3 linked regions of the Lytechinus pictus genome follow. The protein of the gene in region 3 interacts with the protein of the main gene of each other region in a pairwise test. Links are inferred from orthologs where the notes say so. Each region holds a gene or a part of one and is shown on either strand. Other genes may lie near its edges.

Region 1 (11,029 bases), about 3.1 Mb from region 3:
CTAGTACTATGGCTGAGAATAAACTTCAATTTTCTTTGAAAATTAGCAAACACCCCCCCCCCCCCAAAAAAAAACATTCAATGACGTTGATGCTAACAAAGCTGGTCATATGAAAGCTTACATTTAAACTGATGACGCCAGCTATGAGATTCATGTAGCTTTAAATATCACAGCAATTCCTCTGGAATAAGTTTTCTAATAGAGTAATAACATTTTGATTTTTAGTAAAGAATTTTCGCTATGCGTATACTATGTATATCATTCTTTTTTTTAATCTTGTGAAATGCTATGTGTGAGATGGCTTAAACATCTTCAAATACGGTAACCCTAATCCTAAGATTAATTTAGATGATATCCAAACCAATGAAGCTAAGTACGAGATAGCTTACATATCTTATACGAATAACCCTAATCCTAAGATTAATGTAGATTATATCCAAGCCCATGAAGCTAAGTGTGAGATAGATTAAACATCTTTTACAAATAACCCTAATCCTAAGATTAATGTAGATGATATCCAAACCAATGAAGTTAAGTGTGAGATAGCTTACATATCTTTTACAAATAACCCTAATCCTAGGATTAATATAGACGATATCCAAACCAATGAAGCTAAGTGTGAGATAGCCTAAACATCTTTAATCAATAACCTTAATACTAAGATTAATGTAGATGATATCCAAACCAATGAAGGCTTCCTAATTAAAGCCTAGACTGAAATAAAAAAAATACTGTTCCATTCTCAAATATTACATGCACATGAAATGACAAATTCCATTCATATTAGACACTTCCTTCTGTGACAATTAAATTAAGGAACAATATTGAACTTTGACACCCTCATACAGAGCAAAATCTTTTTAAAATTTCTGCAGATGCTCTATGAAAACGCTTTAAGATTTTATTAAAAAGCTTACCTCCAAAATGCTCTGTTCATTGCATTACGTTTTTCTGGTCTGTTCACCTCAACCTTGTATATGAACTCTTGCGGATTAGTCACAGCAAGTGACTCAAAATTATATTTTGACAGCCCTTCGGAAGACATGCTTCTAGCGAGTGTTCTTCTAAGGCCGATCTTGGCTGAAATGATAATAAAGGAAACAATTTTCAAATGAAGTTTTCAATAACAAAAAATACAGTCAAGTCTACATAAAATTATTAGCACAAAGTATGAAGGTGAGTTCTATTACCAAAATAGAAACAGGGAATTCTTATACAAATACAATCATATACAGTGCATCTAAAAAAACCATACACTTTTGAAATGGCTGCCATACAAAAAATATATCACTTGTGGGCAAAATTTCTAAATATATGGAAAGCAAATAGAGTAAACTTTCATTTTCATACAACACCAAAATCCAAAAAGTTTGAAAACTATTCATGCATGAGTGAGCAATTCCCACTTAAAGGTCAAGTTTACCCCAGAAAAAGGATGATTTGAATAAATAGAGAAAAATCCAACGAGCAAAACGTTAAAAATTTCATCAAAATCGGATGTAAAATAAGTTGACATTTTAAAGTTTCGCTTATTTTTCACAATATAGTTATATGCACATCTCAGTGACATGTAAATGAGACAGTCAATGATGTCCATCACTCACTATTTCTTTTGTTTTTATTGTTTGAATTATACAATATTTCATTTTTTTACAGATTTGACAATAAGGACCAACTTGACTGAACCATAAGTATTAAAACAATGCTAATTCCACATGTTCAGGGAGGAATTAATCTTTGTTTCACTTGACAATGAGAAAATTAGAATAGTTTGTATTTCATGTAATGAAATACAAAAGAAATAGTGAGTGGATGACTTCATCAGCCTCCTCATTTGCATACTGACCAGGATGTACACATAACTGTTTTGTGAAATTAAGCAAAACTTTAAAATGTCATAACTTTCTTATTTTACATCCGATTTTGATGACATTTTCAGTGTTATGCTTGTTGGAATTTTCTCTTTTTATTCAAATCAACTAATGGTTGGGGTGGACTTGTCCTTTAAATAAAGGGTATGATAATTAGGCTGGGCAGGAATTAGCCTTCCTATTTCTTTCAGTTTTTGAGAGGCGATCCTTTGGAACTTGCAAAGTTGAGGGTTTGTGATGAATTAATGATCAATCGTGACCAGTTTGTTGTTTGAGAAAATTTCAAGAGCTATTATATTGAAATTTAATGCATGACTCCATGATTGAACTTGAATTGTACTTTTTTAGTGCAGCATTTTTACTTTTTCAGGTGGATCTCTGCAGTTTGTCCATGAGAGTCAGGAGAAAAAGGGTGAGATAGGACTTAAGAAGGTGTAGTAGGTTGATAGGATACAGGTCACCATAACATTTAGCCACCCCTCCCTTCCTCTCTTACCCCCCCCCCCCCCCCCCCTCCACTTCAACCCCCCTGAGAGACTAAGATTGACTAGGCTGGGTGGGAATTAACCTTCCAATTTTTTAGGTTAGTCCTTGGAACTTGAAAAGTTAAGGGTGTCATGCTAAATTAATGATCAATTGAGATAAGTTTTGGTTTTTTAAGCAAATTTCATGAGTTACTAAATTGAAATTTAATGCATGAGTGAACAGGAATCGTAATTATAGTGTACCATTTTAAAGGAGAATGAAACCCTTGAAACCAGCTGAATCCATATCAAAGAGAAAAATCAAAGAAACATATTGTTGAAAGTTTGAGGAAGATTGAATGAATAATAAGAAAGTTATGAGCATTTGAATATTGAGATCACTAATGCCATGTAGAACCTCCCATTGGCAATGCGACCAAGATCTGTGATGTCACACACGTACAACTCCCTCATTACTTTAGTAGTATTTCACTTATATTCTCACTTTTATAGAGTCTATCACAAGGTGAGGTGTTCTCTATATGAGAGGACAAGTACAGAGGTTTCACAAAATTATATCATTGATGAAACGTTTGTCATATGATTAGAATGAGCAAAAAGAGATGTTTTGGGGTATATTTTCAGTGTCCAAAAGGGGAGAGTTGTTCATCTGTGACATCAAAGATCTTGGTCACATTGCCAATGAGAGGATCTCCATAGCATTAGTGATCTCGACATTCAAATGCTCATAACTCTTCTATTGCTAGTCCTATTTTACTCAAACTTTTGTTGATCTTATTCTTTGATTTTTCTGCTTTCACAAAAGCTAACTTGCTCCAAGAGTTTCATTCTCCTTTAACTTTCTCTTGTGGACCTCAGCAGTGTGTTTATGAGAGTTAGAGTAATGTGATGGTACCTGTTGCAAGTAAAGGGATGAGAAAGGGTAATACATGGTTAAAAAGGGCATTACTCTTCTTTGTGTTCTTTTACAAATTACAAGTCATGTACCACCATCTCCATCCCCTCTCTCTCTCTCTCTCTTCCTGGATGGTATTCAAAACTTAACTGCCAAGTGACTGTTGTTGATGGGTAATTTTTTTTTTTCATTGAATGATTACTAAGAAATTTACAGATTATGATGATTTATGAAATAATTTATTAAAAAAGGTGAATGTTTGATCACATTGGCATTTGATTTACTAATAAATTGTTGATTAAATGATTGATAGGTAAAAGTTGATGCCCTAATTTTCAGAATTTATTATTAAATTGACAGTCTGCTCTGGACTTTATGGCTTATTATGCGAACATGTAAATAATGTAATAGCAATCAGTCTCAATCTCAACAGGAAGGGGGGAGGGGGTGGCTAAATGTTCTGTTGACCCTTGTCCAATCAACCTATTTCACCCACTATCTCACCCCTAACCATGCATGCTAACCCCCTATTCTCCTGCGTGACTCCCATGAACCCCATTCTGATTCTGAGAACCATATTACATATATTGATAAGTTAAAATGCGTTAATCATGTTAATGCTGCGCTAAAAACTGCAATTCATGTTCACTCGTACTCATGCATTAAATATTTTCTCAAACAACCAAAAATGATCACGACTGACCATTACTTTATCACAACACATAACACCAAAACCAGATTTCAACACCGTACTAAATTAGCTAGTAAGAGCAGCTACATGTAGCCTCGAAATGTGCCGCCGGTACAAGCCGGGGGAGCACCGGTCTGCGTGCTCGCTAGATCCAGTTCATGAGTTGGGTCGATCTTACACTCGTATTTTGAATTGATGTTGAACCCCCCACCCGAATGCTAACACTTAAAATAATCTCACAGATTAATGCCATTTTCTTTCCTTGAAATTTTCAATTAATCTTACTCAAGTTCCCTTTCCTGGCTGTTGACAGGATGACTTTGGTGAGAGAATTCATGATGATCTCGTGCCGTCCACGGGCGCGGGCGTGGTATAAAAAAGGCGTACCGCTGTGGCTAGCTCGATCACAAAATTTTCCGGTACCGGTACCGGGCCCGGTATCCGTGTATCATATCGATAGCTAGCTGACGTCGACGTGTCTTGCTATGCTCGGCTAGCTACCGGTACCGACAAGGCCAGGCGACACAGTCAACATCACTCTAACTGTAACTGTAACTGTAAGATCTAGATCTACTGTAAAATCTGGAAATTGGTAATGTCCAATACGTATAAATATTTATGTAGGCCTCATTTTTTCTTGCATAGTTATAACGTTAAACATTTCGTTTTCAGATTCCAATTCCACCGAGCTGAGAGTGAGACTGAGATCGAGAGAAGGCTGAACTGCTGAAGCATGAAGGCAGCTGAACAGTCAACATGAACAACAGTCCCACGAGCTTACTTTAGTGCGGTTTCATGATATCAGCTTTCGTTTATAAACTTAGCTTTACTCTTTAGTTTATATTATAGTCGCGCCAGTCAATCTTTCAGTTTCTTATTATTATTACCGGATGTACTGGAAAAATGCAGAAAGCTGCAGCCAAGTTTCCAGGTCTAGCTTTCGTCCAAGCTTAATCTTCTTCCACAACTTAATCAGTTTAATTTATATTTTTCCTCAAGAAATCAGACAAGATACATAAAATACTTTATAGACAGTGAATAAACAACTATAAATATGATGGTGTGCCCTTGCCCCGGGGACCTCGACACGTCTTTCACAGTACACTGTGTTCGGGCTGCCGCAGTAAGGTGGGCCCCAAGTCTGCGCACCTAACAGTAACAATTTGAGTTGAGATTTAACATGAATTTCTTCTTATTTCACAAAATCTTTCAGTTAAAATAATAAAAACTTAAAATAATGTTCCTTATCATGCTTATATTATTGAGAGTAAGTGTACCAAATTTCTCATTAAAAAATGAAAGAAAATATAGGATTTTCTTGAAAAAACCTCTGGCAGTCATTTTCAGATTGAAAAAAAAATGATACTCCATGTCTGCGCACTCATTCACTTTGCACACGATTCTGGGATTTTGATGAGAAAGGCTGCATTTTGAGGCCGTCACATGAAATGCCCTGAATTTATTATTTTTCCACCATTTTGAGTCGGATTTTTCAATGAATACCTGTCTATGTATTGCATGTTTAAAGTCTCGTTGCGTATCTTCTTTTACTAGAATCGCGCAGACAAGGGGGACTGCGCAGACTTGGGGGAACTTGCCATAATTGTTCATCAAACAAAGGATATGACATGAATGAGGAGGAAAAATGGCCGAAAAGGCTTGGCTTGTGTCTGTTGTGATACTAGGCTAGACAGCTGGCAGCCGTCTGTTTCGAGGAGTTTTTTAACATTTTTAATTTTTTTTTAATTTCTCCTTGTACACAGACGGCTTGCTATCGTGCAGCCACCGTTAGGGGGTTAACAATGCAAGGAGAGAGAGAGCTAGAGAGCCAGAAATAAGTTTAAGTTATATTTAGATTATGAACTTGACAATTAAAATGTTTTGTAGACTATTTCCTTCTAAAAACAGATACCGAAGAGCTTAAATCTAATTGAATATGGGAAGGGATTGAATTAGAATTTTGAATTCCAATAATTGGTCCTTGATAATATATGCCATTTTTAAAGAGAGAAGTATTGCACTGTGGGATATGAATATTTCAAGCATTTTCAGTGGAATGAGTATGTACAGATGTGTTTGATAAAAAATAATTTTTGAGGGAATTCGGCAAGATATTTTATAATATAAGAAAAAATTAAAACTGCAATATTCATTTTGTTCAAATACATTATATTTAGAATTTTCAAAGATTTTAAACAATGGTCCAGAATGACACAGATATGAGGAGTGAGTAATAATTAATTCTCATTGTCCTTTTTTGTAAAAGAAATATGTTAATATGTGTTTATTACCCCAGACTATATTGCAGAAGTTCAAATAAGGTAAAATCAGTGTATTATATAATAAAAGATGAATCATCTTCGGTAACGTGCAGTTTATATGACAGTGATGTTTTGGCAACTTTGCCGCAGATGACACCAGCATGCTCATTCCATGTTAACCTATTATCAAGATTGACATTAACACCTAAAAGGTAGTAAATGCTACTTCATTAATTGGCATCTCATTTAAATAAACATCAACTTTGAGTAATGATCTATTTTTATTTGTGAAAACCATAAAAAAAAAACATTTTCGAGCATTTAAAGTTAATTTATTTACAGTAAGCCAGTTTGATGTATATTTCAATTCATTATTAAAGAACATTTTGTAAAGTTTCAACATTTTTATGGGACATGAACAAGCTGGAGTTATCTGCATACAAAATAGAATCCAGAGCATTAGAAATGCATGGTAGCGGCGATGTAGAGGCTGTGAAAAAAACATGTGCGTGTCTTGCTTGATTCATATCGGGCTAGCTCTAGGCACGCTTCTGTGAAATGGGAGCATGTCATCATATTACATATTATAAAATAATTTTTAAAAGCACCTTTAGAAGCTTTTAGAAATTGGTTATCAATAGGAAGTAGAGAAAATTTCTGTTATTTTGATACTTTGAAAATTTCTATAGATTCCAAAATATTTGTGTACAAACTGTATTTTTTTATGTTGATGAAAAAAATTAAAATTTTGGATAAAAATGGCATAATAATGTACTCATAACATATACACACTAAATTACACTATAGATGTCCTACAGTATGTTGTGTGTGTTACTTTGGGAAGAACTAATATTGTAAAAACAACAATTCCAATGATGAGAGTAATTGATAGTATAGAGTGACAACTTTTCATAAAATCATATATTTCAATAAATGAAGATCAACTAGTTTTTATTTCTCTCAATTAGTGTTAGACAGGTGATTGAACTTTTATATTATTTGTATAATGGAGAAGTCCTTATAATGAACAAGATTCTATAAAATGAGGATCCTGCAGTTCCCCATCATGATGATCATGTTAACATTTTTAGAATTTAATTTTCAATGAATATCAAGTCTCAACTTATTGAAATAAATAACTTCCTGTGTGTATTTCCTTTGTCCATAGAAATCAAGTGAAAATGGCTGCTTTCAGACAACCCAATAATACTAGGCCAAGTTGTGTCAGTGCTGCCATCTTAATAAGCCTCTTCATATGCCTTGCTAGTGTTCATATAGCAAATGCAAAAGAAGAAGATGAAGCTTCTACTGAAGGCTGGATGGACTATTGGTTTATCAGATTGGCGCTAAATGTTCTTGGCTACCTGTCAGTGATTGTTCCTGCTTGGCTGGTGATTCGCTATGTCAGAAGCTCTGGATACTTGGAAAAGGGAGGTGAGGATCCCTCAGGTACAAGTAGTGGCATATAAAAAGACAAAGGCATTTCTGCCTTTTTATGCCCACTACTCCTAGGAAAAAAAAGTAATTTTGCACCCTCTCCCCCTCCCCCTTTTCAAAATCACAACCTTTTCCTTGTCAAAAATATTTTTAAGAAGTCAGCCTACATGTTTGGGCAACAAAATTTTGGGATTGAATAAAGCTATCTAAATAATCTTATTTTTAAAAGATTTCTTTAGTTACAAACTCATGTATATGCCCTTTAGAATGATTTTTTTTTTAATTTTTACCAACAATATTAGAAGAACTGTAAGGAGTCTGAAAACTTCTCATTTACAGGGAGTAAAGCTGGCTGTGTTGTACCAGTACATATGGAAAGGAAGTTAGGGCAGCACAGAAACAGACATTTAACTTATATTGTACCAGCACTATCAGAGCTCTACATGTATGTAATAATTAGAACTAGATGAAACTCTATATAGTACCGAGTTGATTTATTTGATAAGAAGATACAGGTACTACTTTAAGAAAAATGAAGACTTCACGGTAAAAAGACAATTGTTTTGGCTTTGGGTTTATTAAGTTAATACAGGTAGTAGCTCTTTGAGGTGCTTTTGGAGAAAAATGTTAGAGGAATAAAATGTTAGATTCAACGTTGATAACAATATCACATCAGATTCAGTTATCCGCATAATGTCATTTGTTGTGAAGTTGACATCTAGGCAATGATTTACATGTACATGTAATTTATGTAATAATATATTTTGGAGCATATGACGTGAAATACTTGAAATAAAATGTCAAAGTTATAATAAGTTTGGTTTATGATATACCATATTCTTATGCAAAGCAAATTAGCTTGAAACAAAAAGCTGGCTTACTACTCTGAATCTGTAACCGGAGCTAGTAACATGTGTCATGACATTGCCCTTTTTGGGTATTCAACCCTGCGCTTTTATCTGCATTTTTATCTGCCTGAATAACCTGAAATGAGAGGGAGCTAAAGGGCTGCAGGTAATGATAATGATATCAGTAGCTCTACTTTATTTGTCCATGTATGCGAAGTACAAATTATGAACTTTGATAATGTAATGGTGTTTGTGATGGTGATGATGATGGTGGTGGTGATGATGATCATCATCATCATCCCAGCAACAATGATGTTAATGATGAATTGACATAAATGCAATAATTGGTAGCTATTGTTTTTCATGCTGAAGAATTCCTAGGAGAGTAGTATTTCTTTGGGATATTTTCCTCTTTCTTCTGAGTCTATGTCCTAATCAGTTACAGTAGGTCTCTTTAAACCTCTTATTTTCTGAAATATGTATTTTGTGTAGGTCATGGCTGTTGGTACAATACTGTCAAATCATGTGTAACTGGGTCAGACGAAATCAAAGCAAGCTTAGAGGAAGGAGGTAGCAAGGCTACAGTGACTGAGAAACCAAAGGTAATATTATATGTACATAAAAAGTTTAGCTCCAAAAGGAACTACATCCATATTTATTACTTCACAGAAAAACATTGTTGACCATTTTCATCAAAAGGGAATGAAGTACCTTTTGAAACTAAACTTCCTACCACATGAAATGCAAGCGAAAGACAAAAGTTTTTCTTCAGACTACATTTTCAACATTCCTTGTATGTGACCATAATGCACTAATGTCACTATTTTGGTCTACTTAACTGTTTTGTATTTGTTGCATGACAGTTTGGTTCATGAAAGAGTTCATATATTGACCTGATAAAGTTTACTGATGATATTGGTTTATTTCTTGCGCTTTCTGTTTAGATAGGAATTTGATTCCGGTAAGGTAAATGATTGATTTCCAGCAATTGCTGCCAGACCTATAATTTAATGGTTTAGTTTTAAAAAAATGCAGGTGAGATAGATTTACAGCTATCGAGAGGAGTGCTGTCAGAAATATTTCATGGTTAAGATGCAGATATTAAGCGACTGTTAAAAGCCAGTACTTTAGATTATTAAAAGACTACTTTAATGGTAAACGATCAGAGGACCAATGACCATACACTTTCTGATGGATCAGAGAGCAGAAAGAGTTGCAATCAGTCACAACTTTAAAAATCAAACATTTTTATTTTCAACCAATAAATTAGAAGCATGTATTTAGGACTAGCAATTGATTAGTAAGTAAGTATTCAGTTGCTACTCTAATTGCTATTGGCCCCCGGTAATGAGGACATTTAACTTACCAAAGGGCAATAGGACTAGGCCTAAATAGTACATCAAATTTTATTTAAGCCCAGGTTACCAGATTTCAAGACTATTGCCCTTCATATGAATATATATCTTGCCCCTCAACCTACACAATATTGTCAATGCTACTCTAACTTTTGAGGAATATGAATTTGAAATGAATACTGTAAATGATATTAATCATTGGATGGATGGACGGCCGGACGGACACTTTTTATTGCTTTTTGAAAATGAAAATTTTAGTATTCTGACTATAGTAATGTGTAATACTCTATTCATTTCCAGATGAACCGTAGTTTTGTGCTGCTGTTTTGCGTAGCTGGCCTGCAAGGGTCATACCTTACATGGGGAGTCCTTCAAGAACGTATAATGGCACATGAATATGGCAAAGATGCACATAATCCAGGAGAAACGTTCACCAACTCCCAATTCCTAGTGTTCATGAACCGCATTCTCGCTTTCATGGCTGCTCTGGTTTTCATGAACTTCACTGCTCAACCTCGTCACACTGCACCCCTCTACAAGTACTCCTACTGCTCTTTGTCCAATATCATGAGTAGCTGGTGCCAGTATGAGGCTCTCAAGTTTGTCACCTTTCCCACCCAAGTCCTGGCCAAAGCTTCCAAGATCATTCCTGTGATGCTGATGGGGAAGGTCATATCTGGGAAAACATACGAGTACTACGAGTACATCACAGCTGTGATGATCTCTCTTGGTGTGGCACTGTTCTTGTTGTCCCAGGGAGGGGATCACAAAGGATCAACTGTGACAACATTATCAGGGGTCATCATCTTGGTTGGTTACATGGCCTTTGATAGCTTCACCTCAAATTGGCAGGCAGACCTGTATAAGACATACAGTATGTCCAGTATTCAGATGATGTTTGGTGTCAACCTCTTTTCCTGCCTGTTCACCAGTTGGTCTCTTATAGAACAGGGTGGGTTCTTTGAGGGAATTGGCTTCATGCTCAAGTACAATACCTTCATGTTTCATGTAGGACTTCTCTCACTGTTCTCAGCCACTGGACAGCTCTTTATCTTCTACACCATCTCCCAGTTTGGTGCGGTCATCTTCACCATCATCATGACCACCCGTCAGGCCCTGGCTATCCTCCTTTCATGCATCATTTATGGCCATCCTCTCAATTTCCAGGGCATCATGGGTGTCATAG
Region 2 (10,552 bases), on a different chromosome or scaffold from region 3:
GAGCTCGCCGATCGTCTGTTCGTCTGCTACGAGGGGGTGTGGCTGTGGCGTAGCGGTACGTGCCCGGGGGTACGTGCATGGTGGTGGTATAGTGGTGGAGTGACTTGGCATGGTGGATGCGGGGGGGGGGGGGAGGAGGGGAGTATTCCAGACATGGCTGTCGATCGGTGTTCATGGCACTTCATGGTGCGGGGGGGGGGGAGGGGGCCGGGATGACTGACAAGTACCAGTGGCGTACTTGGCATATTACGTCAGGGGGGGGGGGGGGGCAAGCGACAAGTAAGGATGAGCACGGTGGGGGGGGGGTAGTAGGCATGGACGTATAGGCACAATTATTTCAAGGGGGGCTAAATCATTGCCCGAATATCAACTTTATAGTTTTTAATTTTCGAGCGAACAATTTTTCAATTATTATTTAGCCTTTTTACATGATGTGAAAGTGCAGAAATTATACATTCGGTCATAAAATTACCAATACACGAGGATATTTGGACGCATCACAGTCCTTGTTGCCCTGCATTTTACAGCCCACCCCCCCCCCCCCCACCCATACACGTTTGGATGTGTAGGTCAATTTTCAATTTCAATTTATTTTATTTCATTTTCAACAGAACAAAGTAATGTGTCGAAATAATTACAATGAACTTATACAGACAAAATAAATTGAGGCATGTACAAATAAATTATATTTATCTATAAGTAAAAGTAAAACAAAACAGAGTATTACATATAAGCAAAATATCATAAACAGTATAAAATAAAATTCTGAAAAAATGGAGGAATCTACTAAAAAGCAGTGCTTGTATTGTATGGACCCCTCTAAATAATTATTTTAGATTAATAAAGTGCAGCACTGAAGGTGGGAAATGTTACCCAGGTGTGCCTAATAAAACAATTGGGATCTTGCTACTACTGATATTTGCTATCGGGCGATCGCACTTTATTGTCCAAATGAATTCTTTTTTGGTATATCATTCCAGAAATGAAATGTATTGGATCGTGATCGATATATTTTTATCCGGGATTTCTATTCAAGTGGTAATTGCAATGTTTATATTAAAATACTTCTTTTATTCCTCTTTGAAGGTGTTACATTATGTTCCCAATTCTGCTCATTTGGAGACGTTATAAAAGAGGTATTTGACATTGAAATCAGTTATAGTCATGTATTGATTTGCCTTTGTTTTATTTCCATTTACACAGTAAAAACAAAAATAAATGCATCCATTCACTCATAAAAAATAAATATGAACATGAAAATATATGCGACAGTAACATGATATATCACTAGATATGGGGAAAATCACTCACTCACTGGCAGGAATGTCAGAAGGTTGAGGAAATTGAAATTGGAAAAAGATAGGCGGATGAATTAGGGATCGGGTACATAGGATAGAAAGGGGGTGGTAATAACCAGAGGAATGTGTAAGCCCCTGCTTACACATTCCTCTGGTTATATGGATATAATTCCTGAAACTTAGACATAGCTAGGCCTTTTCCAGTGGGGGGGGGGGATGTGGAGGACCTTGATTACCGACAGATATCAGCAACGATTACTGACGACCGACGACCAAAACTCATTTATATCCAACCAAGGATTTTCAAGTGGGACATTTTTGTTTACAAAAATTTTCACAAGCCCCACCCCCAAAAAAGTCTTTACTTTCACTGACACGTGCCTAACAATTTACACTAAAATAATATTAAAATAATAATTGCGAGCGCGAAGCGCGAGCTGATTTTTTTTTTGAAAATCTAAACCTAAAACGATAAATTTTGTGCACTTAATTATAAATAGGATGGGTATCTTCCTTAATAAATTATGCGAGCGCAAAGCTCGAGCTAAAAATTTTGATATTTCTAACAGGACCCTATATAGACATTCTAAGCAGTTTTACAGGATGGATATCTAAACGGTCGTGCGGGCGCGAAGCGCGAGCTGAAAATTTGAGATATTCCCCCCTGAAAACTTGACATTCTAAGCACCTTTTTTTTCTAACTATGAACAACATGGTAGTTAAAAACAATTAATTGGTGTGAGCGCGAAGCGCGAGCTGAAAATTTTTGATATTTCGGACTGAAAACTTTACATCCCTTCATTTAATTATGAACAAGATGGAATTTTATGCGAGTGCGAAGCTCGAGCTGAAATTTTTGATATTCTAAGCAATATCTGTAACCGTGAACAAATTGGTTTCTATGATATATTGTTGATATTTTTTTATATTTTGACCTGAAAACCGGACATTCTAAGCACTTAATTTAACTATGAAGAGGATGGTTATACCTAAACAGTTACATGAGAGCACGAAGCGCGAGCTGAAATATTTAAAATTCCGGCCTAAGAACTGGATATTATAAGCACTTTTTGTAACTGTGAACAAATTGCTTTCTAACTAATCAATTGACGCGAGCACGAAGTGCGAGCTGAAAATGTTTGATATTTCAACCTGAAAACTAGACATTTATCTAAGGTATCCAACTAAAAAATTGATACGAGCGCGTAGCGCGAGCGAATTTTTTATTGTTATAATTATATTACCTAAAAGTTGTTATCTACATTTTTCCTGTCCCTGGTCAGCCCAGTCCGTCCTCACTATCGGTACAGAGAGCTCTAAAAGTCGCATTGCGTAAAAATCACAATTTACCGATAAAAGTGTACAGTTTAATTGACATTTACCGACAAAGATGGTGGAAGTAAAAAACCGAATCAGTTGGAACAGCCCCGTGTGCCCGACAATTATCATTTTTTCCGACAGTCTGCAGTCGAGTTTTTGTTTTCCCTTTCTCTTAAACTCTTTCTTCTTTTGCCCCTTCCCCTTTTTTTCTTTCTCTCCTTTTTCCTTCTTTTCTTTCCCTTTTTTCGCTTCCTTTTTTTTGCTTGTGACTCGTCAGGGGGGGGGGGGCAGTCTACCCCCTCTGCCCCCCCTTAGGTACGCTAGTGACTAGTACTACTAGTATTGTTCGATCTCTGTGAATGATTTTTTTTTTTTCTTTTTTTTTCGGGGTGGGGGTACGTGGGCCAGACATAATGGCGTTCAAGAGCAAAATTAATTTTTTTTCAAATCAGTGAGTGAGCAAAGCAAGTGAGCATAAATTTAGATTCTTTGAATAAAAAGTATGATTTTGTGTTATAGATTATGACATGATTAAAATCATATTTTACACTCCCCCGATTTTTAATTTTTTTTCTCCGGCCGTGAAACTTTTTTTGAGGTTTAGCTAGCTAGGGTCCCGGCCCGAGGCGCCGATCCTGGGGGGGGGGGGCACTAATGAAAATATTGGGGTGACAAGCTAGCATATCGTTTTGCCCTAATAATTCCGTAAGTGCAAAAATAAAATTAAATTGTAATGTTAACACAGAAATCAGCAACATTAACCGAGCACAATATAAAATTTAGATTTATTACATCTATAGATCTAGTACAGTACAAAATCATGAGTCTGCGCGGGAAATGATTCCATCTATCATTGCAAGTTTTGTTAAGGTATAAGCCCTACATTTACGCAGGAATCTCATCATATAGGCCTAGAATACTTTTCTGCACTAGCGTACCTACGGGGGGGGCAGAGGGGGCAGACTGCCCCCTGACGAGTCACAACCCATGCAAGGGACATATCCCTGCCTCCCCTGACGAGTCTTGAAGACCTTTTTTTTTTTTTGCTTGTCAAATTTTTTTCTGGTACGAAATCCTTTATTTGTGGTTGAAGACCCTTTTTTTTTTTTTTTTTTTTATTTGCCCCCCCCCTGTGGAAAAAAAATAATGGCAAGCCCCTCTTTTCATAGGTTCATATGTAGATCAAGGTGAGTTATGTATCTCTCTAAATTAATTCTAACAAACTACTTTTAAAAAAACTTTACCTTGACAGTTGATAAAAAATTTCGGCTCGAGATTTGCGCTCGCATCAATAAAGTCCTTAAAATTTCCAGTTTTCAGGCCTTAATATCAACAAATTTCACGCTCTCATTAGGCTTATAAAAAATGATTGGATTAGATCAAAATAACACTAATCATATCAGCTCGCGCCTCGTGCTCATACCATTAATTCATTGGGATCCATTTCCACTTCACAATTTCCCTACATCACACGTGCTTGAAATATTGCATAAATTGACCCTTCTTCAGATCCAGATCAGAATAATTATAATTTTTTTCAGCTAGCGCTTCGCGCTCGCATTAATGACTTTCATGATAAAAGAAATGTATTTAGAATGCCCAGAATCCAGGTATTAATGTAGGAAGATACCAAATTACCCACCCTTTTCATGATTTCCAAAACATTATTGGAGTGTCCCATGTTTAGGTCTAACTGTCAATTTCCCCCCGCTAAGTTGCGCTTCGTGATTGCATCAATTATTTAGTTATATAGCTATCTTGTTCATGATTTTTAAAAAAATGCCAAGAATTTCCAGTTTTTAGGTCGGAATGACAAAAATTTTCTGCTCGCGCTCGCATTATTTGATTGTTGAATCATGTTTTATCTTCATGGGTCCAGAAACGTGTGTGTGTGTGTGTGAGTTTTATTGTTTTGTGCGATCAAGCGCCTTTATTAATTTTGTAATGTTGATTTATGACTCATGATTTTGCCCCCCGCCATCTGAAAAATGGATTGAGGCCCCTGCCCCCGGCCAAGCCTCTACGCAAGTGGGAAGCCCGGGTGGGAAGGGGGTGTATAGCAGTTGAGACCAAATAGTGTATAATGTTTATTTCTACTTTATTTCTGTTTATTTCTACAACAAGTCTATAGGTACTGCATAAGGACTAGGTGAATAATTAATGTGAGCTCGAAGCGCGACCTGATTTTTTTTTAATTGACGTAATTATAATTTGCCATTTTGGGGATTCTTATCAGTTTTAATTGTTATTTCCCTTGTCTACCCTCTTAGATAGATTCATTAGCGACCATCCGATTTCCTATATTGTATTACTGAACATTTTTTTACTAAGTGCCCATTCTTAGCTCCTTATTTTTATGATTAAAGCCAACTTCTGCAGTATGTCCCTTTAAGTCCCATATATGCCCCTATCTACATTGATAAATAATAATACTTATTAATTATATGGCGCTTTTCCCATAAGGCCAAAATGGCCAAAATTGCTTACAATGGAAATACTTGAAATAAACCATGAAGCTATTATAGCGCCGTGAATAAATTATATAATGCTAAAAAAAACTATATATGAAACTACAAACTACGAGAGAGAAACGCCCCTAATTTTCTTTTCTTGTTTGTTACAGGGCAATTCAATTAAGCACACGTATACTATTTTTTAATTCTACATGGGCAGTATACGTGGAACCGGGGGTCAGGGGGCATGGGCACTTGCCCCTAAAAATCCCATATGCAGGGATTTTTTTTAAAAGTGAATGTGCCTATTGCGAAATAAATCTTTTTAAATCATTTTCGTTCCTGAAGTTGTTATGAAATACCGGTATTTCCTTCTTTTTACATCGTGTACATTGGGCCTATTAAGTGTCCGTTTAGTGTCCGCCCTATACTCCCAAACGAAATACGTTCCGCTCTGCCCATATCCCACATGCTCCTACATTACAACAAAATAATATGCTGACTCATTTAGAGTGGGGCATGATTTTTTTTTTTTTTAAGATAGTGCCCCGATAGTACCCGTTTCAAAAGGGGAAGTGTCCCGAAGTGTCCCCATTTCCCCCAAAGTCCTCCCAGCCCTCCCACTTTCAACATCGCCTTTCCGCCCCAGGCCCAGTATGGTGAGCGTTTCAGGAGCAAGCCTTGGGAAATTCCCTAAAACCGTAAACTGAATAACCAGTCGTAAATATGCGTAGATCTATATACTGCATCATGTAAATACTGAGTCGATATTTCTTCAGCTAAATATACGGCCTGTCATCAAGTCTATATGGCTTACGCGTTACGCCTATGGTCTAATACGTGGTGCATTTTTGGAAGGGTCTCGAAATTCCACCGGATGTCTTCTTCGATTATTTCAAGAATTTTTAAAGACTGTGAGAGAACATTTCATATTTTTACCTGGTCCCGCGGAGTCAACAACGTGTTGTAAATGTGAGTTCAGTCTGGTTTTGCTCAAACTCAGCTTAGGATCTTCAAACTAAAGTAAAAAATACAATCGTGTTCGTCATGTTCGTGTGCAATTTTTTGTGCACACAATTAAGCTGGGAATATCACAATACCGTGATACAAGTATTCAGATAGCACACGAGCAAAATGACCACTGACTAACGTGCTGTATTTTATTCGGGTTGGGAACTTAGTTCCTGTGCAATGCAATTCAAACCATCATATCAAAGAGGGGGGGTTTGAGCCTGCACCGCCATGACCGCACGCTGCCTGCGGTGTGCCTGAGGCGCTGAGCTACGCTGCGCTGCAGCAATAAAATTATTTTTTAAAAACAATTTAAAAAACGTGGATGTGGAAGTGCCTGGCCTGGAACTGGTTGCATGAGTCCACCACATATCGACCACCTCTTTTGAAACCAACCACCCTGCACACATTAAGATTATTACAAACAACACGCTTGGGATGGTAGGCGAATATTGATTTCATAAATAAATATTAAAAATGTTTAAATAGTCTAAAAACTGACATACTTCAGTCTACTGAAGCTTTTTGACATGCACTCATGGGCCTGGGAGTAAAATCGCATGAATGACCAGAACGCTAGAGCAAAACAATATATAACTTTAATATAAGAAAACCGAAAGAGCAATGGACGCTAAAAAAAAGCCTTAACAACTTGTTCATTGAATGAGTGAGCTGTGTCTGTGACTTGGCTGTCATTAGCTCGTCGTTCAGCGTCCACTGTCTCTTCGGAAGTTCGGTTCTATTATCAAACTACAATGAATGATACTATAAAATACCAACAGAATTATTATATTGTTTCATCTAGTTTTTTATGAAATTTGCTCAAATAATGGTGAAAGTATTCAAAATTGTTAAAGGGGAATGAAACCCTTGGAATAAGTGGGCTTGTGTGGAAAGAGAAAAATCAAAGAAAGTTTGAGAAAAATCGGACAAATAATAAGAAAGTTATGAGCATTTGAATATTGCGATCACTAATGCTACGGAGATCCTCCTATTGGCAATGCGACAGATATGTGTGATGTCACATGTGAAAAACTTTCCCTTTGATGGACTATAAAAATACCCCAAAAATGTATCTTTTTGCTCTTATGGTGATACAAACCCTTCATCCATAATATATTCTTTGAAAATCTGTATTACAAGCCCCATAGAAAGAATTAATGATCTACTGATAGATGTCATAAAATAGGCATTTTAAGTGAAATATATACAAAAGCAGTGGGAAAGTTGTTCACATGTGATATCACACATCTTTGTCGCATTGCCAATGGGAGGATATACATTACAATAATGATCTAAACTTCAAATGCTCATAACTTTCTTATTATTCATTCAATTATTCTCAAACGTTTGTTGATCTGTTTCTTTGATTTTTCTGTTTTCACACAAGCTATCTTGTTCCAAAGGTTTCATTTTCCTTGAAGATTATGATATGTGCTTAGTTTCACTCCAGCTGACGAAGTAGCAAAGTACAAGAACACAAACCTTTTTTTGTCTTGATTCTGTTGATTTCAATTTCGGTCTCATAATCTCATTCTTAACACCAGAAGCCAGCATATGCTGACCTGTCAGGATTTTCCTGCTTCTTAACTTTCGAAATGTTAAAAAAATCATATATGAAAACAAGAATGTCAGAAAAATCTCCTTGGACCATTCATGCCTCCAAGTCCTCAATATACTGTATCTTAACTCTTCATGCATTCCGTTTGCATTATTGCACGTCTGTAGGCGTGTTATATATTTCGCATTTCTGCACAACCGCGCATTCCCCTAATGATGCCTCTATGTCCAGGTAAATTGTAGTTTTCAGAGTTTTGTTCTGTTTTATATACATTTGCTTTCAAAACCACTTAGTGGGAGATTAATCAGATTATCTACCTTCTTTACATGTTAAATAAATCAATATATCCTTCAGCTGACCCAGGAAGTTCATTGAAAAAAGGAGAGAAAAGAATCAATTATATCCTCCTCACAAACAATACCAAGGTCAGGTTCATTGTTATTAGGAGTTAGGACTAGATCATGACACCTGTATGAAAGAGGTGCTTTTTTTTCTTTGACTAGTCGAAGATCTACTCTCTTTTATTTATTCACAGTAGTATGGTCTACTTTTGTCAGATTACCAATGATATTAGAATCATGTCTGTGATAGACTGCCCAGGTGAATACAAAAATAGAATCACGCCACTGACCCAAGAACCAAAATAAAGGGCTACACTTTTGTTGAAAATGTAAGAAGAAAATGTTTTTAAAAAATTATTTGCAATGCTTTATTTCTTTCGTAATGCAATAAATTCATACATGACAAGAAAACCCACCAAACACTACAAGTTTGCCTCACAACATTTCCTTTCTAAATGTTCAGATAAAAGTTATAGCTGTTTAACTAACAGAGTATTATACCAGGTAGAACGGTTCACTGCTAAAATAATGCAACATATAGAGGGTTTACAGGTCAATGCACGATGAGTTTAATAGCTCCGTAGTTTAAGGGTTGAAGTTATTAAAATACAGTGCGTATAAAAAAAAACGGGACAGTTTTGAAAAGTCTATAAAAATTTTGTTTAAAATCATATCTATATTTTGATGTTAATAGATGCTCTGATATCTTATCTTTGAAATGCAATTAAAAAAAATATATTTTGTTTATGCTTGAGCGAACATGGGACGTTTTTGTCGGGGGTTCAAAAAAGAGGCTTGCGCCAAAATCGCAGGAATGAGAAATTTGATGATTAGACTTTTGGCCAATAAGCAGACCTCCTCTTAATCTTTTCATTATCTTTGCCATAATTTTCAAATTATGCTGTCAAATTTCATTTACAAATTTCTTTATTTACCTTAATTTTTTTTTCATTCAAACTTCTTTTACCTTTGAATTTTTCTTAATAAGTAAGAAAAGAAGACTTTTTGTCAACCCAAGTAAGAAGATTTGCATTATTAATTGGGAGAATTCGCAATTATTCAAATCCTTTTATTATATGAAACAAATTATGTTATGGTACCTGTAAAAGACACGAATCCTATTTTCAAGGGGTCATTGAATCCTTCACCAAGTTTAATTATGTGCTTGGCAGGACAAACAGGAAAGGATTCATGTCTTTCAATGGCAATGGTGTAGCCTATTGAGTCGATTTTGAAGGAGCAAGATATGGCAGATCGGGTAAAATGTATTAAAAAGTTGTGAAGTGAGCAAGCAAAAAAATTTCATTATTTTATTAAAATATCAAATTTTGTGATTTTGATATGATATTCTGAAAATGATAAAATTTTTCACTTTTTATGTTTTCTGTTATTTTCCTGTCCAATTTTTTTGTAAGTCAGGATTTTTTTTTTTTTTTTTTTTTTTTTGGGGGGGGGGGGGGGTGGGCACCCCGATCCCCCACCCAACAGTATGCCATTGTTCAAAGGCACCATAACCTTTGTAGCACACAATGAAAGGATTTGAAAGAAAAAATACATGTACACGCTCTCCCATACTTCGGTTTAAAAAAATTGTTCTTGCCTAAAGAAGGAATATTCAAAGCTGAAAGAGAACATACTAAAAAGGAAGAACAACAGAACTATTCAAGCAAACAAGAGGATTTGGAAACAAGTTTTGACTGCATAATTCGAAAATTATGGCAAAGATAATGAAAAGGTTGAGAGGAAGTCTGCTGATTAGCAAGAAGTCCAACCATCATATTTATCATTTTATGCCTTTTTGGCACAAGCCTCCTTTTAAACCCCAGACAAAAACATTCCGATAAGACCTTAGAGCACCTATTGACACCAAAATATAGAGATCATAATTTGAAACAAAAATTTTATAGACTTTTCAAAACCTGTCCCGTTTTTTTTATACGCACTGTACAGGACATTCAGGGGGAATTGCCTTCTTGAGCCCAGCATGGGGCTCTACTCATTGACTGCAGGGGCTTAGTGGGCCCCTTGGACCCACGGCCATTGGATGTCCAGATTTTGCATATGTTGGCATGTATGCATATAAAAAACTGTGTACTTTGAGCCTTGCACATGCGCTAACTCTGGTAGTGCATGCCGTTGCGTTGTTGGCAGAGCTATTTGAGTAAAATGTTATGACTGCGATTCAAGCAGAATTAAACAAGTCAAATTTCACTGGAAATTAAGGGTTAGAAGGGAAAAGAAAAAATCATCAAAATTATAAGTCAAACATTTACTTGATAATAGCCTGTGACAAGCACATGAATTTGCTTTTTTTGTAACTCTGTACATTTCATTGCATTTTTAATCATAGTGTGACATGCAAGATTTGTTTTTGTATAGGAGTTAGATTGAGATTGAAACTAACGGAATAGAGACAGAAAACTTCGGTCTAAATCCAACCCTCTAAAAGACATGAATTCAAATTTCAATTTTTGTTTCTGTGAAGAATCACCAGAGGACCTCTAGAAGGCTTTGTGAGAAGAGTGAGAAGAGAGAATGGCATCAAAAGCTCCTGCGAAGAAGAATGAT
Region 3 (11,425 bases):
ATAGACAAGTCACAAATCATACTCTAATGACCTGTTTCACATGATTTGATTTCAGTATAATAGACAAAGTCTTGGGCCTGAGCCAAAGTTATCTCCAGGGAATAGGGTTTACTCATCATTTCTCAATAGTTCATTCATTTAATTTACATGGTATCTATCCACTAATAAATATAAAAACATAAATTAAAGAAAAGAATTACACAACTTTATATTCACTAGAAAGTTTGTTGGTTTGGGATGCAAAAAAAAAAAAATCTGTTCTTCATTATTAAAATGTCAGTGAAGCACGGGGTCTGGATAAAGAGTATAGAAAGACTCTCCCAAACACGAAAACCTCACATGCTTAATGTACCCCCAATTCCAAATGAAACAACTACTGGCAGTAAAACCAGTTGTATCATTGAATGTTGGGGGGTGTACAATTTACAGAACTGCAAATTGAATTAAAGGGAAAAAAGGTCTCTTCCACTCTTTAAACAAGGTGGGTGTTTCATAAAGCTTATTGTAAGTTAAGAGCGACTTTAAAAATGACTAGTGAACCTTTCTTACATGTTAAATAATCAACAATGAATATCATTTACCACAACAAAGGATCACCAGTCATTCTTAAAGTCACTCTAACGTTGCGAACAGCTTTACAAAATGGCCCCCAGGTATATATTCCATGGCCCGAGACCACTGACCATAACAATCTCAAAATGTTCAAAATACACTGATTTTCATCTATGTTCTCGCCAGCATAAACTTAATCAACACAACTGGGTAATTAATTATTGTAAATTAAAGTACTCTTATATAACCAAAATCAGAACCCAACCATCAAATATTCTTACAATGACAGATAATATACAAATTCTGTGAATTTGCTTATGAATTCTATTATCTACTTAAAGATGAAGTAGAAGTAGGTTTAAAACAAGTTTGGTACTAATGGAAGAAACAAGGATCCACGATTCTTTGTAAAGAGGTGCACAGGATTATCTTTTTCAAATATTCTAATTGCTTTTCAATAAGTCTTTTAGAAATACCTGTTTGTTGTACTGTACTACACCCAATGTTGGGAAAACCCATGTGCTGGCAGCTGGCTCAATCTCGTTATCAGCTAGGTTGACAAACATCTGAACCTGAGCTCTTGACAAATCATCAGTACCCCTCAGCTGCTCATTGCTCACTATATAAAAAGACATTTACAATGTGAAAATCTAATCCGTTTAAATTGCATCATTCAATATTTGATTATGGGCAATTCCATGTTAAAATGAACAAGACATCTCGGAAAATGTCAAATTATACACGTTTAAATTTGCAGTATTTGACAAGTCTTGCTATACAAATTACACAATAAATTAAACAACATTTATACAACAGTTGCAATGTTGTGACCATAACAGCTATAGCTCCTATCTTTTTGAAAACGATGTAAAGGCAATACCCAAGTGAATTGGCAACAAAATCAAACACATGTTTTTTTTAAGGCCAATCTCCTAGGCCCTAAGAATGCCTTTCAATAAGGCTAAGTATATAAACCACAAAAATACTGTATAACCTACCATAGTATGCAATAGCATTACTCTCAAACAATGTTGTTCCACTTCCATTCTCAAAGGCTGGAACCTAAATGAAAAAAAAAAAAATTTAAGTTAAACATTAGTTCTGGTCATGAAAGTAAAATCTGGAGGAAACTGTCAAAAGTGATTGGGAGTGGTCATAAACATAGGGACAGTGATTTTCCATGATCACGGAAAACAGACGGAATTCACGGAATCGACCTTTTGAAACGGAAAGTGGCTTTTCAAACTAAAATCACGGAAAACATATTTTTTCTCAAAATGCACAGAATAGCAACAGAAATTACTCCAAAATCCTCAACGAAATACGAATATCAACTGGTCAAAAAACACGATCTCACTTCGCTACAACAATCATGACAATCCACACATCGTGACTGCACTCGAGCGAGTCGAGCCCCTCCATCACTTAAAATTAGTTTACACTCACGTCCGCATGAAGGCAGAAACATGGCCGTGTGTTGCTGCCCTCTGCGTTCTATCATAATATCATATCGCGGTATTCCTCAAATCCAAAATGGCGGATAGGCGAAAGTCGTTGATTGCTCAAAAAGATGTCCAAAAAGTCCCCAAATCATCGATAAAATCTCATTTAACCACAAAATAATGCTAATAATGTGAAAGGTGAGGATGTATTAATAGCGTTGTTAGTAAAGTGGCAGATACAAAGTTTGACCAACACAAGTATTTTTACATCACTACTCATTGCGTATTGATTTTCTATGTAAACGGAATTGTCACTCTTTCATGTACACAAAGTCTATGGGGAAATAGAATTTCCGTTTTCAGACATGCTGAAACAGAATTCAAGCTTTTCTTAAATTGAAAAAGTAAATTTTAGAAACGGAAAATCACTGCCCCTAGAAACCTGAAAATTTTAAAATTTAATTAATGCAATGATAGGGGGAGGGGGCCATTATGCCCATTAAAGATAAATTTATATTAAATACATTCTGCTTACCACCTTTCAAAAAAATATGCCGGGAAAATAGTGAATTTTTATTACAAATAGATCAGGATCAGCCAGGTTCTTCTTCGATCGCCGTCAGCGCAGCTACAGCTGAGCGTACGGCCGTGCCAGTGGAATGGCTGGCATGTTCGTACGCTCAGCTAGCTGTAGCTGCGCTGACGGCAATCGAAGAAAACCTGGGGCCAATTGCACAAAAAGGTCTTTGCAAGAACCGTCTTTCGTGTCGCCCATTTATCATGATGCAACATGTGAAACGCATTTTAAATAAATTGCCTGCAAACATATTTCATTCATCCGTTAAAGTAAACAAAATCTTTGTTTATAAAATGATGTGATGTATCATGAAATTGTATACAAATTGATTTAAATGCTAGCTAACAAATTTTCTTTGTTTATCATACATTTAAGAAATATCCCGCATACAGCGCATCATAAAAGACGGGCGACACGAAAGACGGTCCTTGAAAAGACCCTTTCGTGTAATCGGCCCTAGCCTGGCCTTGAGGCTCCTAGAGAGTAAAAATCATTTACTAACGCATGCTTACTCTCAACGGAGCCTGGAATTGCTTCCCATAGTTACACGCACCGCCCAAAAACCTGAAACTTTCGCCCCCGAGATTTCTACTTTCCTTCTAAAAAAAGATCTAGCCCTAAATCATGTACATGGGATGGGATACAACTTCATTTCCAACATTACTACGATATTGATTTCATTTTTAAACAAGAATTCATTGAAGAAACAAGAAAAATGTTATGAAAAGACGGGAAGAACTTGCCACCGTGCTTACGTCGCCATCTTGATTTCATTGTCTTGCCAAATTCGCGCATGCGCCCAACAGCCTCGATCGGCCATTTTGTTTTGAATTTTGAAAGGAAAGCTACCGCGACAGAACTTTTCGTTTTTTGAGGTTCCAGTCTGTGCCTCGATGTCAGGAAGCTGCCACTCGTTAGGCCTTCATCCATAAAATCGTGGTAAGTGCTTAATTTCTGTTTTAACTATTTATTCGGATAATTATTTAGACCATACTTCACGCTACTACCGTGGGTATGGTGAATTACACGGTAAGCCCCTGGGCTCCGGCCCGCACAGCGGGCCGGAGCTCCCTGGGTTAGGCTTCGTGTAACCCAGGGAGCTCCCGCCCGCGCAATTCATAACAAAAATGTCCGATCGAGACGGGGGCAGAAGGAGAGAACTTTTCATTTTTTGAGGTTCCAGTCTGTGCCCAGATGTCAGGAAACTGTCACTCGTTAGACCTTCATCCATATACCCTAATGGGCTAATAATACCGTAATCGTGGTAAGTGCATAATTTCTGTTTTCACAATTCATTTGGAGAAATATTTAGACCATAATTATAAATCACCCTAGTCCCGTGAGTATGGTCAAATACACGGTAAGCTCCTGGGCTCCCGCCCGCGCAGCGGGCGGGAGTTTCCTGGGTTAGGCTTCGTGGAGAGTAAGCATACGTTAGTAAATGATTTTTACTCTCTAACGTTAGAAGCCTCCTGGCTAGGCAGGCATGCAAACAAAATGAAAAAATGTTTCACTTTCACTTTCAGATACTGCCGTTACTTTGTATTTTTCAATTTGATTCACCACAGCACTCAAAAACTGTCATCAATGGTGTTGACTCCCAAATTAAAGCAAAGCCCTTCGTGACTGACAGAGAGAGAAGGAAAGAGAGAGAGCGAGGCCTACCTTTCCCAACGGGAATTTCTTCAGGAAGTCGGCTGACTTGTTGGTCTCGCCAAGCTTGAAAGCCGGTGGGTCCTGCACAACGGTCAGCTGTGTGCCGCTGTAACCAGCAGCGATCTGGATCTTGTATGCCCGAGTATTTTCGGGATAGGTGTACAAAGTCTGCAAAACAAGATGATAATGAATAGATCATCACAATATTAAGTATTATATCAACACAAACAAAGGTATTTTAGAGCGTATATTCATAAGATGAAAGAAATATAAGTGGATATAAATCAAGATACACGTGTGGACTTACCCCGGAAGCCATGGCTGCTAGCTGGAAAGACCGTGTTGACGTTGCAAAAAGAGAAGCAGAATAGCTGCGCGAACAACACGCCGGGAGATCCCCCTCCCTCTGTATACGTATGTAGCGGCGTAGTCAGCTGCCGGCCTGCACATGTTCCAGTGACAATAGCTACTTTTTGATTTATGTACGGCCTGAAACCGGAATAAAATTATTACTTCCTGAAGTCATCTGAACGAAACACAATCGAAGAAACATCAGTCCTGTTTAGAATTCTCAGTGAGTTCAATTTTGTATAATTAATTGCAATGTTATGCTCCAAAACTAACGTTGCAAACATCTTCAGTCCCATGCATGCACATTTACGTTTTTGATAATAAAAGCATGCCATAAAAACACACTAACTAGAAAATTAACTTCGAAATTTTAGTCATAGAAACTACATTGGGTCACATTGTTGATAAAAGTTGCAGTGGATAGCTAGAAAAAAGTAGAAGATTTTGAGGTAAATTTTCCATTATGTTTTTTTTATTATATTAATTAGGCCTAGTAGTAGTATTTAGTAGGCCTGGGTCTGAATTAACGGACGGAATACCAGAATCTGATAAAAAAATATCTGTCCAATGACATGTATCAGGTTCTGGTTTTTCTTATTTCTGGTCCTGTATTCCAATGAAACAATGTAGTTTAACATTTTCTTAACCCTTAAAGAACTGGGGGGCCATGATGCCCGGCCCCCCCCCCTTGACGCTTTGCGCGATATTTCCGAAGCGCAAAAAGATAGCGCCACAAAATTTTGTGCCTCTTTTTTGTCACTGAAGTTTTGCGCAACTATTGAGACCAAATTCGTGACATATGATATGGGTATAGCTTCGCGACGTCATCACATGACTTTTTACGAGACAATGTCGTGCCGAAAATGGCCCATTTTTATACTTTTTGTACAAAGACAAAGTCTATTTTGAGATGAAATTCATAAAAGGGTGGATTATTTTTCATTCTAATTGGTCTGCTTAATTAATTTAGGTTTTAATTTAGTTGTTAAATGGACTGTAATAATTCCCATTGAAAAAAAAAATACAAAGAAATACATTGTATATAAGAAATTCTAAAAACAGAGAAAAACATGAGGAAAAAATTGGCTTTTGCAATTTTTCTTTGTGGAAACCTTTAATTAAGTTAGATTTCAAAGATGACATTTGGAAAAAAGGAAGAAAACTTGAAGTGAAATCGGGTGTAAAATATGCAAATAATGTTTTTCATGAATAAATTTGCATATTTGATTCATAATAAATAAAAAATAATTATTTTCAGATTTTTTCCTATACTAGCTTGTAGTTTATGTGATAAAGAATGTGCGTGCCAAATTTCGGCGCAAATGCGTGTACGGCGGCCGAGATCAGAAGGGGGGGGGGACCATCATGGCCCCTCCCCCCAGTCCTCAATACATCTCAAATAGCCCAGTCCTTTTAGGGTTAACATAATGATTGAGCAGAGTATGTTTTATTCAGTCTTACCAATTATAACCAGACCAGTAGAGGCGCTGGTCAGAAAATTAGGATTGTCCCACTCCTAGTTTACACTCGGGGATGTACTGCCTCAGGTTTCAAAGATTTCTTCACACAAGAAATCTAGGAAAGTTCATTCACCTGTCAAGTGCTGACATCAATCAAGTGTGCGAGTAAATGTAAACTTGTTGGGTTTCATAACAAGTTTATTGGAAGACGGCAAGTCGTGAAAAATAGATGGTGAACTGGAGGGAATGGAGGTCACTGAATGTATTTTATCGCTCTCAGTCTCCGTAATTGTCATCTATGTCCCGCAGGGGTAAGTGAAGAAAAAAACTGTCTGCATAAACAAAGACAATCTCAATTTATCAAGACAGGATTTGCATTGGTTTAGGATATCCTTGTTTTCTGGGACAATCCCAATCTTTGGACCAGCGCCTCTACTGATAACTGGTTTCTTTGTTACATTTCAGGTGACCACCGAGAAAAATATGATGAGAAGAAGGGGAAAAAACTTGACGATTACGACTTGACCATCTTGTTCTCTTTGTTAGTAGCTAAGCTACGAGACACATATAGAGTCTGCCGCCCTCTATAATCTATATGCGTCTCGTAGCTTAGCTACTTATAAAGAGAACAAGATGGCCACGTAAACATCAGCAAGTTTTTTCCTCGTCTTCTCTTAATATTTTTCTCGTTTTTTTAAATGAATTTTTGGTTAAAAATGAAATCAATATTATTGTATAATCTGTGACTTATTTGTACTTCCCCATTCGTGAATTCATTTATCGGGATACCGGATTCGGTCCGGTGCAACACCAGTGGATTCCGGAACAAAAAAATTCCAACATGACTCAGGCCCATTATAAGATTGAGAACAACATGAACAAAGAAAGTCAAAAAGTTTAATTCAATAATCTAAAACGTTAAGACACTCGCTTGTGAGAAGAGTCCGCATTTATTGCGAAATGTAAAGATGAGACTAGTATGCCTGAAGGCATATACAATATAAGTAAAAGAGTTTGGCTTACCAATATGGGCTCTAGCCTCAAATTAAGTAACGGTAGTTTCTTCACCTTGAATTTATTTTGCAGCAAATTAGGATTTATCAATTGCAATTTTCAGCTTAATTGCAGAATACCCCACCACTACGAAATTGACCACACACCATATTAGAAGTATATGACAAGTATGCCTCATTCTAAAAGTTTTGGGGTACTGAATTGAATATTTGAATTCGGCCTAGGCCTAACCCTTTTAAAACACAATTTTATCTCTAAATGTATGTACCATCATTATTTATGTTATTTTATATTATAATATGATTGCCTTTATGTATTGTACATATGCTTCATTCCATTGCGGCCACTTAACTTTAATAACGTACACCTAATACTGATCCATTCAAACCTACCAGGCAGCCTTGCTACCAGGATCTACGTATGATAATAAAAATTGTCATTGTTACACTTACACTCATACACTCTCTCTCTCGCCCCCGATCTTTCCGCTCTTCCTCCTCTTGCTCTCTACCTCTCTTTTTTCTCTTTCTCATAGTCTCTTTTCCCTTTTTCCTCCCGTGCTTCTTTCTGGTTAGTCAGAACTCATTGTTATGTTTTTTGGCTGCATGTATTTTAAGTTTTGGCTTATCATAATGGGGATGCATGTCATAATATAATACATGTGTCCCCAACATGATAAACAAAATTTCTATGTGTTTTGCTGTAGAATTTGTGCTTTTTTATTTGATGTTGAATGTATTTTTATGTAAATTTTGTAAAGGGTTCTGCAATTAGGCTTTTCAGCCGCTATAGATACCCTAATTGTTGTAATAAGCCGTTTTAAATTAAAAAAAAAAAATTTGCTCTTGTTCCTAGTTTTTGATCTGATAGCGCAAAATCATCACAAAAAATCTAGATAAAGGTTCCTTAAAGGGGAATTCAGTATATGGTCATAAAATGTTGTGTTGGAGAGGAGAAAAATAAATAGAATAGAATGGTGAAAGTTTGAAAGAAATTGGGACAAGCAATTAGAAAGTTATGGCTGCTATAAAATTGAGATCCCTAAGACTAGATTTCAAATTGGCAACTGGGTAAGTAAATTATGACCAGGGGCAAGGACTACTTTCCCCATAGGCCATGTACTTAATTTTCAGGGATTAATGGTTTTCTCCTAAGTACCCATTCCCATGAGGCGCTAGTCTAAATATAACCCAGGTAATGTATTGTTTTATGTCCTCATGAAAGAAAAATATAATTTAAACTTCAAAGTAAAACTTTTGAAAAAATGACATTTTAGCAATTTTATGCATTGGAGTACAATGGAAGAGTAGTCCTTGCCATACATCACTATGACATCACATATGCGGCCAATTTGGAGTCTCCATGGGTTTAGTGATTACCAATATTTTGATTTTTTGAAATTTCACAACTTTCTTATTGTTTGTCTGATATTGTTCAAACTTTTACCTTTCAACTCGTCTAGTTTTTCATTTTCCTTTAAAACAAGTTTTTATTTGGGTTGTATTCCCCTTTAAAGTGATAACCTCTTAGAGGGATAGTTCACCCTAACAAAAGGTTTATTGTTAAATACAAAGAAAAACATTGATGAAAGATTGAGGAAATCTATTAAAGATTAAGACAGTTCCTAGAAAGAATATAAACTTTTGAATTGTGATGTCATCCGAGCAGCTGCCCCATATGTTATAAAATGTTTCAATTTCAATATTTTTAAGGGTTCATGATAAATAACAAATTTCTTCTCTCAGGAGCGGATGTGAAATATTTTTTCTGTTGATATACTGAAGTTACAAAATAACCCATTTTCAAATTTTGAAAAAATGACATTTTTATTGATTTTTAAATATATGATACATGGGAATCTGCACGCATATGACATCATAATTAAAAAAAAATAGAATTCTAATAAATTTTTAAATCTTTAATGGATTTTCCTCGAACCCTCACCAATATTTTTTAATGATTTTTTCTGCATTTTCTACAATAACTTTTTGTCAGGGTGAACCTTCCCTTTAAAACCTTGGTACTTCTTCTGGAGTCACTACACAAGGCTTGTCCAGTGCTGGCTTTGGGTTGAAAGACATTGTCTGGTCCTCTCTACAGTCGCAGTTAGTGTCTCCATCCTTACTGTTGCCCCATTTCTGTATAAGGACTTTGCACCATCCTGTTCCAGTCCGTAGGGGATTAAGACATTACCAGTTTGGTCATTCCTCACTTGTTACTGAATGCAGAGCATGACTTAAATGTACATATCTAGGCCCTAATGTCATCTGTGTTTATGAATGGTATTAGAACTCAACATGTCCTCAAACTATCAACCATTGTGTGCTAGGGTGGAAAATTAATATTGCTGTTTGAGGGAGAGGACAAAAATGAAATTCTGTGTAAAATAAACAGCCATGAATGCGAATAGATGCTATTTGGGGGTAATTCATTTGAGACTGCTGAGGGCATTCCAGTTGTTTGTGTTTTTGTACCTTTTACAACATTCCATTGCCAGCTTTAACTGTCTTTAAAAGTCTCTTTTTCAACTCTCCTGTAGATCTTCAATTGTACAGTATTTCTACTTGAAGTACAAAATGTCTCCAGGAAAACATTCCAGACAGAGTAATAGTGATCGCAAACAGTGCTCAACCAATTACTACGGAGATCGTTTACTTCTCAAGAGAGTACAGGAGGTAATTTCAGCTGCCATTCATAAAGAAAGTAACCACCCTTTTCGTCTCCAGTTCTGGGCATGCTTTTAAGATATTGGAGGTTTGATTCCTTATTTCATAATTCAATTCATTTATTTTCTCTTTCAATCTTTTTACATTTACAATGATAGTTCAATATACATATTTACAAAATATAACATTTAAATCATTTTTTTACAATACAATAATACCATGAAAACGAAAGGGAAGGAGACCAACTAATAAGCAGAGCTTGTAGGGTGAAGGCCCCCTTTTCTAAGTAAATTTTATGTATAAAAAATAAGATAAAATAAAGAAATAAACAATATATATATATAATGAATAAAAAAAAATAAACAAATAAAAGTAAAATTAAATAAATAATAATAAAAATAAATGATTCAGTATACGGAAATCATAAAACGATTAAACATATATACAAAGAGAAATTAATAAACACATTTACATAATAAGTTCTGAATTACATTACTTTGGGGAAAAAAGATAATCTAATATGACTTCAGAAGATATTTTTTAAGTTTTTCTTTGAAATTTTGTATTGAATTACATTGTATAATATCCTTTGAAAAAGAATTCCATAATTTTTGACCAGTAAAAACAAATGTCTTCTGTGCAAACGATGTTCTATTCAGAGGTTAATGAAAGGAACTCGCCTGGCGAGTGAAGTGCTTATGAATTGTATCATTTTTTACAAACATATCATTAAAAGGTAACGGTAATTGTTTATTGATAAACTTGTACATTTACTGTCCGAGTTGAAAAGAATATAAATCTTTAACCTTCAAGACTTTATTTCTCAAAAACAGAATATTTGTATGTGCCCTGAATTCTGCATGACTAATAATACGAATCACTCTTTTTTGTAGAATAAAAAGTCTATTAATTTGAGAATTCGCTGCATTACCCCATGCAACAACTCCGTAATTCAAGTAAGGTAAAATTAACGTTGAATACAATGATAACAAAATATAATGGGGTAAGAAGTAACTTAATTTTCTAATGACACCAATGTTGCGAGCAATGATTTTACAAATATTATCAATATGTGCTTTCCAAGAAAGTTTTTCGTCAATGATCAGTCCCAAAAATTTAGTAGATCGCACTCTTTGAATGACAGTATCATTTAAAATTACATCTTTTGGTACAGTCGTAATCTTGTTGCTAAATAGCATGTAGCTAGTTTTTTCTAGGTTAAGAGAGAGTTTGTAAGCTGTTATCCAATTAGAAACATTTTTTAGTTCGTCATTGAATATTTGCGTCAATTGCTCTGGGTCGGGGTGCGACAGAAATATATTAGAGTCATCAGCGAAAAGTATAAATTGAAGCAATCTAGATGACATATCAATATCATTTATATAAGTAATGAACAAAAGTGGGCCAAGAATATTTAAAATGATGTAATAACTCCCATTTCGGAAATGTTATGACGCGAAATATGACTTCTTGATGTATTGTGAAAAACATAAACTTTGCTTAAGGATGAATTTTCAATTGAAAGTGATAAGGTGATCTTCACCTTTCTCCCAATACGGTGTTTAAGATACTGAGCAAGAAACCACAAAATGCACCAAGAATCAGTAAAAGTAAAACAATTCATCTATACCTCACACACTTTATGTAAAACGACTATCCACATTGATTTTGGCATTTGTGTTATTAGCTGTAATAAGAATTTTATAA

Evidence for each region.
Region 1: the proteins of elongation factor 1-gamma-like (region 3) and delta(3,5)-Delta(2,4)-dienoyl-CoA isomerase, mitochondrial-like interact in a two-hybrid assay, tested with the Homo sapiens proteins (2 studies listed by BioGRID and IntAct). The link is inferred for Lytechinus pictus from reciprocal best matches to the Homo sapiens genes EEF1G and ECH1.
Region 2: the proteins of elongation factor 1-gamma-like (region 3) and Golgi to ER traffic protein 4 homolog B-like interact in a two-hybrid assay, tested with the Homo sapiens proteins (2 studies listed by BioGRID and IntAct, with this or other methods). The link is inferred for Lytechinus pictus from reciprocal best matches to the Homo sapiens genes EEF1G and GET4.

Annotation. Positions count from the first base shown.
Region 1 is NC_087251.1:23,742,440-23,753,468, forward strand, and holds the start of delta(3,5)-Delta(2,4)-dienoyl-CoA isomerase, mitochondrial-like, read right to left. Parts: upstream 4,678-11,029; 5' UTR 4,280-4,677; coding exon 4,228-4,279; intron 1,081-4,227; coding exon 918-1,080; intron 1-917. Other genes in the region: adenosine 3'-phospho 5'-phosphosulfate transporter 1-like, read left to right, coding at 7,385-7,652, 8,981-9,090, 10,144-11,029. UniProt on the Homo sapiens protein: Isomerization of 3-trans,5-cis-dienoyl-CoA to 2-trans,4-trans-dienoyl-CoA.
Region 2 is NC_087254.1:10,473,458-10,484,009, reverse strand, and holds the start of Golgi to ER traffic protein 4 homolog B-like, read left to right. Parts: upstream 1-5,875; 5' UTR 5,876-6,043; intron 6,044-10,469; 5' UTR 10,470-10,519; coding exon 10,520-10,552. UniProt on the Homo sapiens protein: As part of a cytosolic protein quality control complex, the BAG6/BAT3 complex, maintains misfolded and hydrophobic patches-containing proteins in a soluble state and participates in their proper delivery to the endoplasmic reticulum or alternatively can promote their sorting to the proteasome where they undergo degradation.
Region 3 is NC_087251.1:26,858,207-26,869,631, forward strand, and holds the start of elongation factor 1-gamma-like, read right to left. Parts: upstream 4,901-11,425; 5' UTR 4,547-4,900; coding exon 4,535-4,546; intron 4,396-4,534; coding exon 4,237-4,395; intron 1,615-4,236; coding exon 1,551-1,614; intron 1,172-1,550; coding exon 1,029-1,171; intron 1-1,028. Other genes in the region: nuclear valosin-containing protein-like, read left to right, coding at 9,629-9,727. UniProt on the Homo sapiens protein: Probably plays a role in anchoring the complex to other cellular components.